Arabidopsis thaliana: one gene and its partners. The protein of the gene in region 1 interacts with the protein of each later gene in a pairwise test. Each region holds a gene or a part of one and is shown in the gene's direction. Other genes may lie near its edges.

The links.
Region 2: the proteins of AT4G26030 (region 1) and AT5G59990 interact in a two-hybrid assay, tested with the Arabidopsis thaliana proteins (one large-scale study listed by BioGRID).
Region 3: the proteins of AT4G26030 (region 1) and HB20 interact in a two-hybrid assay, tested with the Arabidopsis thaliana proteins (one large-scale study listed by BioGRID).

What each region holds. Positions count from the first base shown.
Region 1 is NC_003075.7:13,203,500-13,206,852, forward strand, and holds AT4G26030 (C2H2-like zinc finger protein), read left to right. Parts: upstream 1-2,037; coding exon 2,038-2,700; 3' UTR 2,701-2,727; downstream 2,728-3,353. Other genes in the region: AT4G26020 (4/1 protein short form protein), read right to left, coding at 1-83, 467-529; AT4G26040 (uncharacterized protein), read left to right, coding at 3,336-3,353.
Region 2 is NC_003076.8:24,151,497-24,155,259, reverse strand, and holds the start of AT5G59990 (CCT motif family protein), read left to right. Parts: upstream 1-2,058; 5' UTR 2,059-2,175; coding exon 2,176-2,568; intron 2,569-2,827; coding exon 2,828-2,986; coding exon of another isoform or gene 2,987-2,998; exon of another isoform or gene 2,999-3,409; intron 3,410-3,763.
Region 3 is NC_003074.8:71,526-75,288, forward strand, and holds the start of HB20 (homeobox protein 20), read left to right. Parts: upstream 1-1,781; 5' UTR 1,782-2,073; coding exon 2,074-2,212; intron 2,213-2,288; coding exon 2,289-2,674; intron 2,675-3,434; coding exon 3,435-3,763. Other genes in the region: AT3G01210 (RNA-binding (RRM/RBD/RNP motifs) family protein), read left to right, coding at 657-772, 857-932, 1,003-1,101, 1,176-1,634. UniProt on the Arabidopsis thaliana protein: Probable transcription factor.

The sequences.
Region 1 (3,353 bases):
ATCTCAAGAACCTCTCTCCTGCTTGATTCAACATTGCTCTTTGATCTGTAAACATTGATCTCATTCAACCCGATTTTAAAATCCTGAGAGAAACAAAAATGAACTATGAATGTTCCGATTATTCTAGCGATCTAATCCTTCAATTAAGCAGTACTAATCCTTCAAAAACTTATGAGTAATCAATTCGAAATCTGTACGGATTTGCAGTACCAGTAGCCTAGAAATTTCTGAATACCAGATCATCTCTGAAACTACCGGTGAGAGAAATACAACATGAGCTGATCAAAATTTCCAGATTTCTCAATTCATTCGGTTCGATTAGAGAAGGAGAGCGAATCGATTTGATTTCAGATGACGAGATAATCGTAATCGAATTAGATTTAGGTTTCTCCTATCGAAAAACGAAACCAGAATAGTGGAAGCAGCAAGCGAAGAAGAAGAAGAAGAGATAGGAAGAGAGAATCACCTCGTAGATTTGATCGAAACTGGAGAGAAGCAAATTCATCTGCTCGTCGCTTGTTGCCGCCATGATTTTGAGTTTTTGAGTTTCGAATTCGTAAAGGCGAGGGAGATTGAAGAAAAAAGGAAAAAAAGCTAGGGGTTTAAAATTCGAAGGATGTTTTGGTAAATATGCCGAGCATTCTGGGCCGTCGATGTCACCTACACGCTAATCGCTAATCCAATGGTCATGTTATCTAATTAAAAAGATATGTAAAAAAATAAAATCTTATTAAAAAGGGATAACATGAAAATTGTTATACAATTTATTATTTTGTTTTGAGAAATATTAATATTTGTTTTTTTATTAATAAAATTATTACTTTACTTAAAAAAATATATATCTTTCTTGCTTTTTTTACATATTTTTTCCTTTCTTTCTGGAAATTTTGTTTTTCCGATTCATGTTATGAGATATTTTTTTACATTGACCGGTGTATTGTATTTTGTACTTTAATTTTTTATTTTATGTAATCACTCTCTTATTATTCTATTGTGTACATTTTTTAAAAGTCATTTAACTATTTGTTCATTGTTTTCTTAAGTTAATTTCTAATTGTGATAGTTCTTTTAAGTAATATCTATGATCACAAGATTATATCATGTACTCAACATATTGGTTTTTCAATGGAAATTCTATTTTTTTTTGCTAAAAAAATAAAAGAACTTTTTGTAATATTTTAATTATTAAACTAATTATATCTAAACTTTTTGTATCGTCGAACAAAAATCATATTATATTCTTCTTTATTATATTCAAAGTATACATTTTTTTCATCGTATATTAGATATCTACATATTGAAGATTAGAAGTAAAAAATATAACATATAAATCCAAAATTTAAGATATGAATTAAATGAAATTTATTAAGTGGACCTCTGTTACCATAACTTTTGACTGAAACATAAAAATCTGTTGAACTAAATTTTTAGAATTTTATTTTATTTTTATTTTTTGTGAGAGTTGCACTTTAAATGGAAATCAATGGGATAAACGATATAATAAATGATTCTCAACTTACACATCCCAAATAAGTAAAAACAATAAAGTGATAAACTAATTTTGAAATAACAGCCAAATACTACCAAAACAAATAGAGGTTTTCCAAATAAAAATATAGAAAATTACAAATTTGAAGATTTTTTTTATAGTAATAGATATTAAAATTAGATATCAGTCCACAAAAATATTCATTTCCTTATATGTATAAATTAGTTTCTTTCTTTTAAAAATTTCCACTTTAGTCTTTTTTATTTAATATAAAAACCAATTTACCCTTTTATTAAGGTATACTAATAAATAATAATCTAATATAAATAGATAGATATGCAAAGTATTTAAAACACACGCTCCCTTGTACTATGAATCACAGTGATTTTCCCATCCAAATAAACTCAAGTTCGATAAATCACCAGTCTAAAATGGTTTCATCAATGTTCGTTACTTCTAACAACAAAAACCATGCTAATTTATATCCATCTTCTTTTTTTACTAGTTCCCATGTTTCAAAAGTTTCTTCATCTTCATTGAGAACCAACATGGTTTCTCCTTTCAGTATGCCTTTCATAGCTCAAACTAGTGGTTTTGTTAACTATTCTCAAGTTTTTATCACTCAAACCATCGCAAAAAGGTATCATGCTCTTATTCCGACAAGCAATATGGTCATTGTCCAAAATGATAATGATCGTGTCAACCGTTTCATGACTTCTTATCCACCAATTTTGAAATCTACAGTTAACCCCCCAAATGATTTTGATAAACAGTATGAAACCTTCACACCTAAACCCATCGATTTCTTTTGTTCGCAACAAGACTATGCATGTCGTCAGCATTTGGATATATTTTCATCCTCCCCAAAACACTATCATGAGCAATATGTTCATAAAAATGGTCGGTCGGTGAAATATATCTGTAAACCAACAGAGGTCCTTGAAGAAATTCATGACGAAATCGATTATGAAAAAGACGGTGGTTGGATATATAGCCTGCCGTTTGAGAAAGACAGTTCATTTATATGTCTAAAGTGCAATAGTTTGTTTGATACTTCACAAATGTTGGTTGTACATACAGAGTTAATTCATTCTAAGAATGAGACTAAGAAAAGGCTTAAATTACATCATCAAGAATTCCATGGTAAATCTCATAAGATCAACAAAGATCAAACTGGAGGACAAAGTTGCAGAAGAAAGTTGAGGCAATAGAGACGATCAAGTGATTATGAAACTCCCAGCATCATGTATTTGGTGAAGAAGCATCTCTTTAAGATTTGACTTTATTTCTTTCATGTTCAGTTTTATTAGTACTTTGTAAAACAACTTTTTGTGTATTTCATTATCTTCATTGATAATTTAAAACTGTTTAAGTCACCAAAGCTATGTACAACCATGGAGAAAACTATATTTCTGTTAGTGTATAACTTTTATTCGACCATAAAGAAATAAGTCGGATTGGGAAATCACCTAGAATTTTACTTTTTGGTTAGAAATCTGTAAATTTATCATAAATTTGTAGAATTCATGGTTAAGATAAGTGATTAAATTATAGGAAAAAAAAAACAGAGTACCAAAAAGAAGAGCCTTTCAGAAAAGCTGACGGCGATTAGGGTTTTCGTGAAAGATGATGACCTAGAAGTAAATTACAATTTTGACTTTTTATTTTAAGTTTTCAAAGTAACAATTGGGTGTTTACAATAAAACGAGTAGACTTGTAAAATTTTTTAATATTATTATTATAGCGTAAATACATAAATGCCATTATAACTGTAGTCTCGATGTCAGACGATAATTCCATAAATCTAACATCTTTTTGTCATCTGAATTATATTTCTAATACTATGATGAAATACAATCTTAAA
Region 2 (3,763 bases), on another chromosome or scaffold:
AAGTTTGTGTTAATCAAAGAAAAAAAATATAACTAATTTTTATTTCGTTGATTCTAATGGACCTACATTCCGATCCTCTTAAGTGAAAAAGATGCTTTCGTACCCCATAAATAAAATAAAATTATATATTTGGCTTAGAGAAGTGATATCGACGAGAAAAAATTCTTCAAATAAATTTATCGACGGACCCATATTGTATATATAGAATGTAATGGAGAAGAACAATCATTTCCCCTAATACAAGGGAAGATTGTATACACATTTCAGGAGGAAGACTATCTAAGTTAGTGCACTTTTGTTAATTTTGGTTCAAATTTAGGTTTTAGATGTAACAAATTTGATTTTTCATTTTTGGTTCGGTTTGTTACCATCATCCAAATGAAATATTTTGGATACATATAGATATATAATCATTTTAGTTTAAACTTGGATTGGACTGAATTAGATAAATATAATCAATATCATCTAGTAGTAATAATGTGATATGTGGGTTAATTTTTCTACTAAACAAACACCACGAGTTGGGTTGATATTATGTATCCTCATTATGGAGTGAGGCTTAAACAGGAAATTATAAGTTGTTTTGTTCTTAAATGAGTGATTATGTATTATGTATGATGATGATGATGAGTAGGCCAATTTAGTGACTGACTACAACGTGTTCCTACAATATATTGGTATATATGCAGTGATCCTACTATTCGAATTTCGTTCTTGGAATGTAACTAATCGTAAACAAAATATCTATAAAAAAAAACAATATTTATATACTTTACCGTAGGGGTAGCTATGTATAACTCGTTTGAGATATTCTCTCGATATGTTACCTAAATCGATTTGATTCCAAACAAAAAATTCTGGCTAATTAACCTGACTAATCATGGATTGGAACAGATATACAATTCATATACAGAGCAGTACTATCGTGTCTTGTCTGGTTAATTATCCGGACCGGACTAAACACCCGTTTAATGTGAACATAACCAAAGCAATCAAGTATCTGAGCTTAATTAATTATTACTGTTGATTAAGTTAATGATTAATTAGGCAAAAAAGTAGATTTGTATGCTGCTCACATGGGTTTGCGTGAAATAATGCTTTTAACCATCTTTTTGTCTCTCCTATACAATTCGAGCTAAAAAGCTAAGTCGTGTCCTTTATTTTATTTTATTTTTCTTTACATTGTTCTTTTGCTGTTATGATTTATGAATGTTGCACGAGATGTTATCTATCTACTATTTTAAAACACAATTGTATATTTTTTTTCGTCAAGGACTTGAAGTTAAAACACAATTGCTTACGAAAATATCAGTAAATTTACTGTTTCAAGAAATGATTATGCCTTCCATTTTACAACAATTATCGTTGTGAAATTCTTAATACATTAAAAAATGTTATAACGCCATTTAGTTTGAAACGTAAATGTGTTAAAGAGATTGAAAAAAAAGAAAGAGTTTACTAATTATAAAATTCAATATAATAACAATTTTTTTGAAATTCAATATAATTAGTATTTTTTTTTTTGAATACCAAGAGGTTTTGGACTGAAACCCGTAATCCCTCCGTACCCGAAACTACAGCATATAATATTACTTTTGTTCTAAACGTCATTCGAACTGGCGATCTCTAAGTTTCGTCTAGGGTTTTTACTAATTGAATTAACAACACTTGGTTATAATTAGTAATTATTTGTCACTAGCTTTCTTCCTCTGTATTTATAATTGATAGCATATTAATCAGTAACCTATATATAAGTAAGTATATTTGAATTTTTGTTTTTAGTAGTAGTTCTATTTTTAATGAAAACATTTTTAAACCTAAATGAAAAAATAATTATCATTTTTGTTCAACTATCCAAATTCACCTTCGTATAATACATGTCGGATTCAATTTCGTGTAATATATGTCGTTTGAAGAATAACGGGTGAGAGTGAGATAGAAGCGACCTGAAAACGAAAGGCAACTCTTTTTATACCTAAAGATTCCTTTTTTCCTAGTCAGTCAAAAGAAGTCAACGGTTAAGTCAGTTGACTTCAGATGACGATTAATGACGTCAGCATCAGTCCTTCCTCTGTTAAATAGAAACCAAACCACTTCGAGTTTCACTCACTCACACACACACACATAAACAAACACACAAAGACACATAAACACCACAATAAACTAAAACCCACCATGTGTGGACACGTCAGCACTTCTATAACCTCCGGCGACAACTGTCCATGTTTTCTATACTCCGACGACATAGTGGCTCCTCCTCAGCTGCTTGATCATCATCATCATCAGTTCCCGCCTCCGCCTTTGGCGCTTCTTATGATGAGCCAAAACTCTCTATACGCGGCCGAGGCGGTTTCAGGGTTCGGTTACTTTGATTCCGGCATGAACGGTGGTGGTGGAAGCAGCAGCTGCGACTCGCCAAGCTCTATGGGGAGTGGCGGAGAGAGTCTTGTTATGCAGAGGAGTGTTAGTAGCCATAATGGCTTTTCCGGTAATTACACAGCGGCCCATGATTTCGTTAACGATGATGATGGGCCAGTGAGACGGGCCCTTAGCGCCGGAGATCTACCCGTAAGTAATATTATATACACACTTGCAGTTTCGAGATTTCAAACGTTAACTTTTATGTTTTCGTTTACGTATGAAATTTTTCACATTTTATAAAACGAAACATTATATTGTTGGTTTGTTTTATGGTTTTGCAAGAGTGTAAAATGAAAACACCAAAACACAAATAAATTATCTAAACATACTAAAATTTGGGGTTTTATTTGAAAATAATAATAATTCTATCATAACATAAGACGACACTGTTTTGGTATGTGTGTAGAGGAGTAGCAGAAGAGAGAGCAGTACGGTGTGGAGTGAGAGCAATGCAATAATAGAAGGAATGAGCAAAGCCTACAAGTATAGTCCTGAGGAGAAGAAAGAAAAGATCGAGAAATATCGTAGCAAACGAAACCTTAGGAATTTCAACAAGAGGATTAAGGTAATTTTATAAATGTTTTACAGTTGTTTCTTTGTTCTAAACTGTTTGTTAGCATAAATTCTTATATCTTATTTTAACATATAAGAATTTATCATTTGATTCATATTGTTCTTCATCACATAGAGTCCATGTACACCTAACCTATATTATATATTCAACATGTGTATATATGTGTCGCATGGAAAACTTTTGAGGACTTGACATGTACAGTAGTTGTATGGAACAGTGACATGCACCTTCACATATATTGATGCAACCATTTTCTAATCAAGCATACAATTTCCTATAAATTTCTTCATTAATCAACTAATAATGATTTCTGTATAATTTCATACACAAGAGCATATATAAATGTCTATTTTCTTAAAATCAAATGTATAAGATATCTTTTCTTAGTAATACTGTTTTTTTTTCACATTTAATACAAAACTAAATGGTTCGTTGACCAAAAAAAAAAAAAAAAACAGGCTCAATGTATCATATCAATCACTCTTATCACTAAAAAGTAACATTGAATTTTTCTTTTCAATCTTATCTTCAAACATAAATAGAATTTCATCTGATATATATGAGTATGTGAACGAGAATTAATGTTCTGTCACATCATATTTGGGTCTAAGGAATCCTTTGAGATAGACACATCAAGCTCCAAGGTTGCTACAAGTTTTTTTCTCCATTAGTTTTTTCTTACAAGAAGGTCCACAAATATATTTCATTGCTAATTAAAGATCGGATTGGAGTATTCATGTACTAACATATTCAAACCGTATCTCAATG
Region 3 (3,763 bases), on another chromosome or scaffold:
TGGAAACAATAATAACACGCGCATCGCTAGAGCTTACGTTTGACGCGTATCGTCGACCACAACATCGATATCGATCGAGCCGACAAAAGAAAAAAAATTATGTGAACATTCCTCTTCTTTCTTTTTTGGTTTAAATGTTAACATTCCTCTTCTTTCTTTTTTTGTTTAAATTTGAAGAATCCTCTTTCTCTCTCACAATCACACGAATCTTGTCTTCTTTTCTCTCCGTCTCTTTCGATACTTGGCTTCAATCCTGTGACGTCCTGTTCTATTGTGCCTTAATCGGGTAATCTAAAACAGAACATACACTATCAGTTTTTTTTCGTGCCCTGCTTCTCGAAGTTTCCGATTGTGTGGTTGGTTGATACATATCTCATTGATTATCTTTGTTACTGTTACTTTCATCTCTTATCTCATTCAATTATAATCTAGGGTTCTTACTTCTTCTTTCTTCCCTCTCCGCTAACTATTTGGCCTGGACACCTTTTTTATTTTTTTTATTTGAATCATTATAGTAATCGTAGCTTTGTAGATTTCTTGCTGTATAAATCTCTAGAAAATCGCTCAACGGTTCACGGAATGTGATTCAAGAATCTTGTTTATGTTTGTTCTTTGATTTAGGTATCTAGGTTCGTGTGAGAAAACAGAACAATATAATGTATCCTTGTGGTTACGTTGCTCAAGTCACCAACTTGTCTCCTCAAGCCACTGAGAAAGATGTTCATAGGTTCTTCTCTCACTGTGGTATCGTCGAGCTCGTTGAAATCACCGGGTAACAACAACGTTCATTGTTCAGTAAATTATTAATCATTCTTGAATCTGTTTATATTTTGTTTCATGTCTCCATGGATTTCAGGTGCCAAGGGGATGCATTAACGGCTTATGTAACCTTCAGAGATGCGTATGCTCTGGATATGGCTGTGTTACTTAGCGTAAGTCCCTTAATTAGCTAGAAATTTCCAGTATGATCTTCTTGGCATTGATTTTAATGTTGATCTTCAGGGAGCTACGATCGTTGATCAAACCGTTTGGATATCGGTCTACGGTGTCTATTTACATGAATCTAACAATCTCAGACAAGAAGAAGACTATAGTGTTACGGTAACATTAAAAACAATACTTACTAGGTTACTTTAGGTTATAAGCCAAAGATTCTCGAAAATGTTTCTTTGTAGGTGACTCGTTCAGACGCGTTTGCTTCATCGCCTGGAGAGGCCATAACCGTGGCTCAACAAGTTGTGCAGACGATGTTAGCTAAAGGCTACGTTTTAAGCAAAGACGCGATTGGTAAAGCCAAAGCTTTGGATGAGTCTCAGAGATTTTCAAGCTTGGTAGCGACCAAATTGGCAGAGATCAGCCATTACCTTGGCCTCACACAGAACATTCAGTCGAGTATGGAACTCGTGAGATCAGCGGACGAGAAGTATCATTTCTCGGATTTCACTAAATCCGCGGTTCTTGTCACGGGCACAGCTGCTGTAGCCGCAGCCACCATTACAGGGAAAGTGGCTGCAGCTGCAGCGACTAGTGTGGTCAACAGTCGTTACTTTGCTAATGGGGCTTTATGGTTCTCAGATGCTTTGGGCCGGGCTGCAAAAGCAGCGGCCCATATCGGTGGAGGAGGAAGCAATTGATGTAAAAAGTCTTTGGGCTTCCTTGGAAAACATAAATAAATGATATGTGAGGTTTTAAAGCATAAAAGGTGTTGTGAAAAGAAAAAGAAAAAAAAAACCATCATGAAGATATGATTAGTAACGTTACATGATCGAAAATATTTGAGGCAGAAACTATAAAATAACTTTATTACATGAACTGGAGAATATATATGAAATATAATAATAAGCCTAAAGCTTTTAAAATATTAAGGATGGGTCCTAGAAACCTCCCTAGCTTGATCCTTTCCTCATTCTTTCTCTCTCTTTCTCTTATATGAGAGGTTGATGAGATCCACAAGAAACACCTAACTCATTTGATAGTGATTTCCAAATCTGCAAACAACAAAGTATATTTGATCATCACTATACTGATTTCACAATCCATTAATCACTGATAGGTTTTTGGTGGAATACATACATGTATGTGTTTGATCCAACAACAGAAGCTGGATTGAGATTAGAGATGGCGTTTCCTCAACATGGTTTTATGTTCCAACAACTTCATGAAGACAACAGTCAAGATCAGCTCCCTTCTTGTCCTCCTCATCTCTTCAATGGTACTATACTCTCTCTTTCTCTCACTATTTCTCCACATAAATAGATTTGAGTCATGAATTCTGTTGGTGTATATAGGAGGAGGAAACTACATGATGAACAGATCTATGTCTTTAATGAACGTGCAAGAAGATCATAATCAAACCTTGGATGAGGAGAATCTATCAGACGATGGGGCACATACTATGCTGGGAGAGAAGAAGAAGAGGCTGCAATTAGAGCAAGTTAAGGCATTAGAGAAGAGCTTTGAGCTTGGTAACAAGCTGGAGCCAGAGAGGAAGATACAACTAGCTAAAGCATTAGGGATGCAACCAAGACAGATCGCGATTTGGTTTCAAAACAGGAGAGCTAGGTGGAAGACTAGACAGCTCGAGAGAGATTATGATTCACTCAAGAAACAGTTTGAGTCTCTTAAATCCGACAATGCTTCTCTACTTGCCTATAACAAGAAACTCCTTGCTGAGGTATGTATCTATATAAGTAAGTATATATGTGTGTTTATATAGTAAATAAGGTGTTTAATTCAACTTTCATTTCTAATTTGATTGTGTTTGTTTTTTTCTTTGGTTTTTTTATTTTTGGTTTTGCACTAATAGTAATAACCAACGTAAAATAAATCTAGGACTACAAATATTTTTCTGATTATTGGCTTGGATTGGTACTATTTATGTAGTATATATATATGTGTATATATATCAGTGTATATATATATATATATGTATGTATCTTGTGTGTATTAAAGTCGTTTAATACGAAATGCAATAGATTATTGTTAGGCACATGATCCAACACTATAAGATGTTTGTCAAAAGACAGTAGGTGTTTTGTTTATTAATAAAAAGGATTCTTGATCAATATTTACAATTTAATTAATACATTCCCATATGACTATCAAGTAATGGCATGTGTGCGCTAACCAAATTTGACAAGAATACTGATTTTTATATCATATCATTTTTGTGTGTTTTAAATGATTTTACTACTTATTGAAATGTAATAGTTACAAGATTTTCAAAAATTACTTAAGCTAAGTATATGTAAATATATAATTTACATATATAGTCTTACAGTTTATCTATTTTAAGTTATTAGTCATTTTAAAAATATTTTGTTAATTTAAATTATATATAATTATGTTTATTTTAATGATATATAGAAATGATAATTTTTAATATCTGAATTTCTAAAACTTAACATTTGAATTGTGTGTGATGATGGTTAAAGGTAATGGCTTTAAAGAACAAAGAATGTAATGAAGGAAACATAGTAAAGAGAGAAGCAGAAGCTTCATGGAGCAACAACGGAAGCACAGAGAATAGTTCAGACATCAATCTGGAGATGCCTAGAGAGACCATTACAACACATGTGAACACGATCAAAGACCTATTCCCTTCATCGATTCGATCATCTGCACATGATGATGATCATCATCAGAATCATGAAATAGTTCAAGAAGAAAGCCTTTGTAACATGTTTAATGGCATTGATGAAACGACGCCGGCTGGTTACTGGGCATGGTCTGACCCAAACCACAACCACCACCACCACCAGTT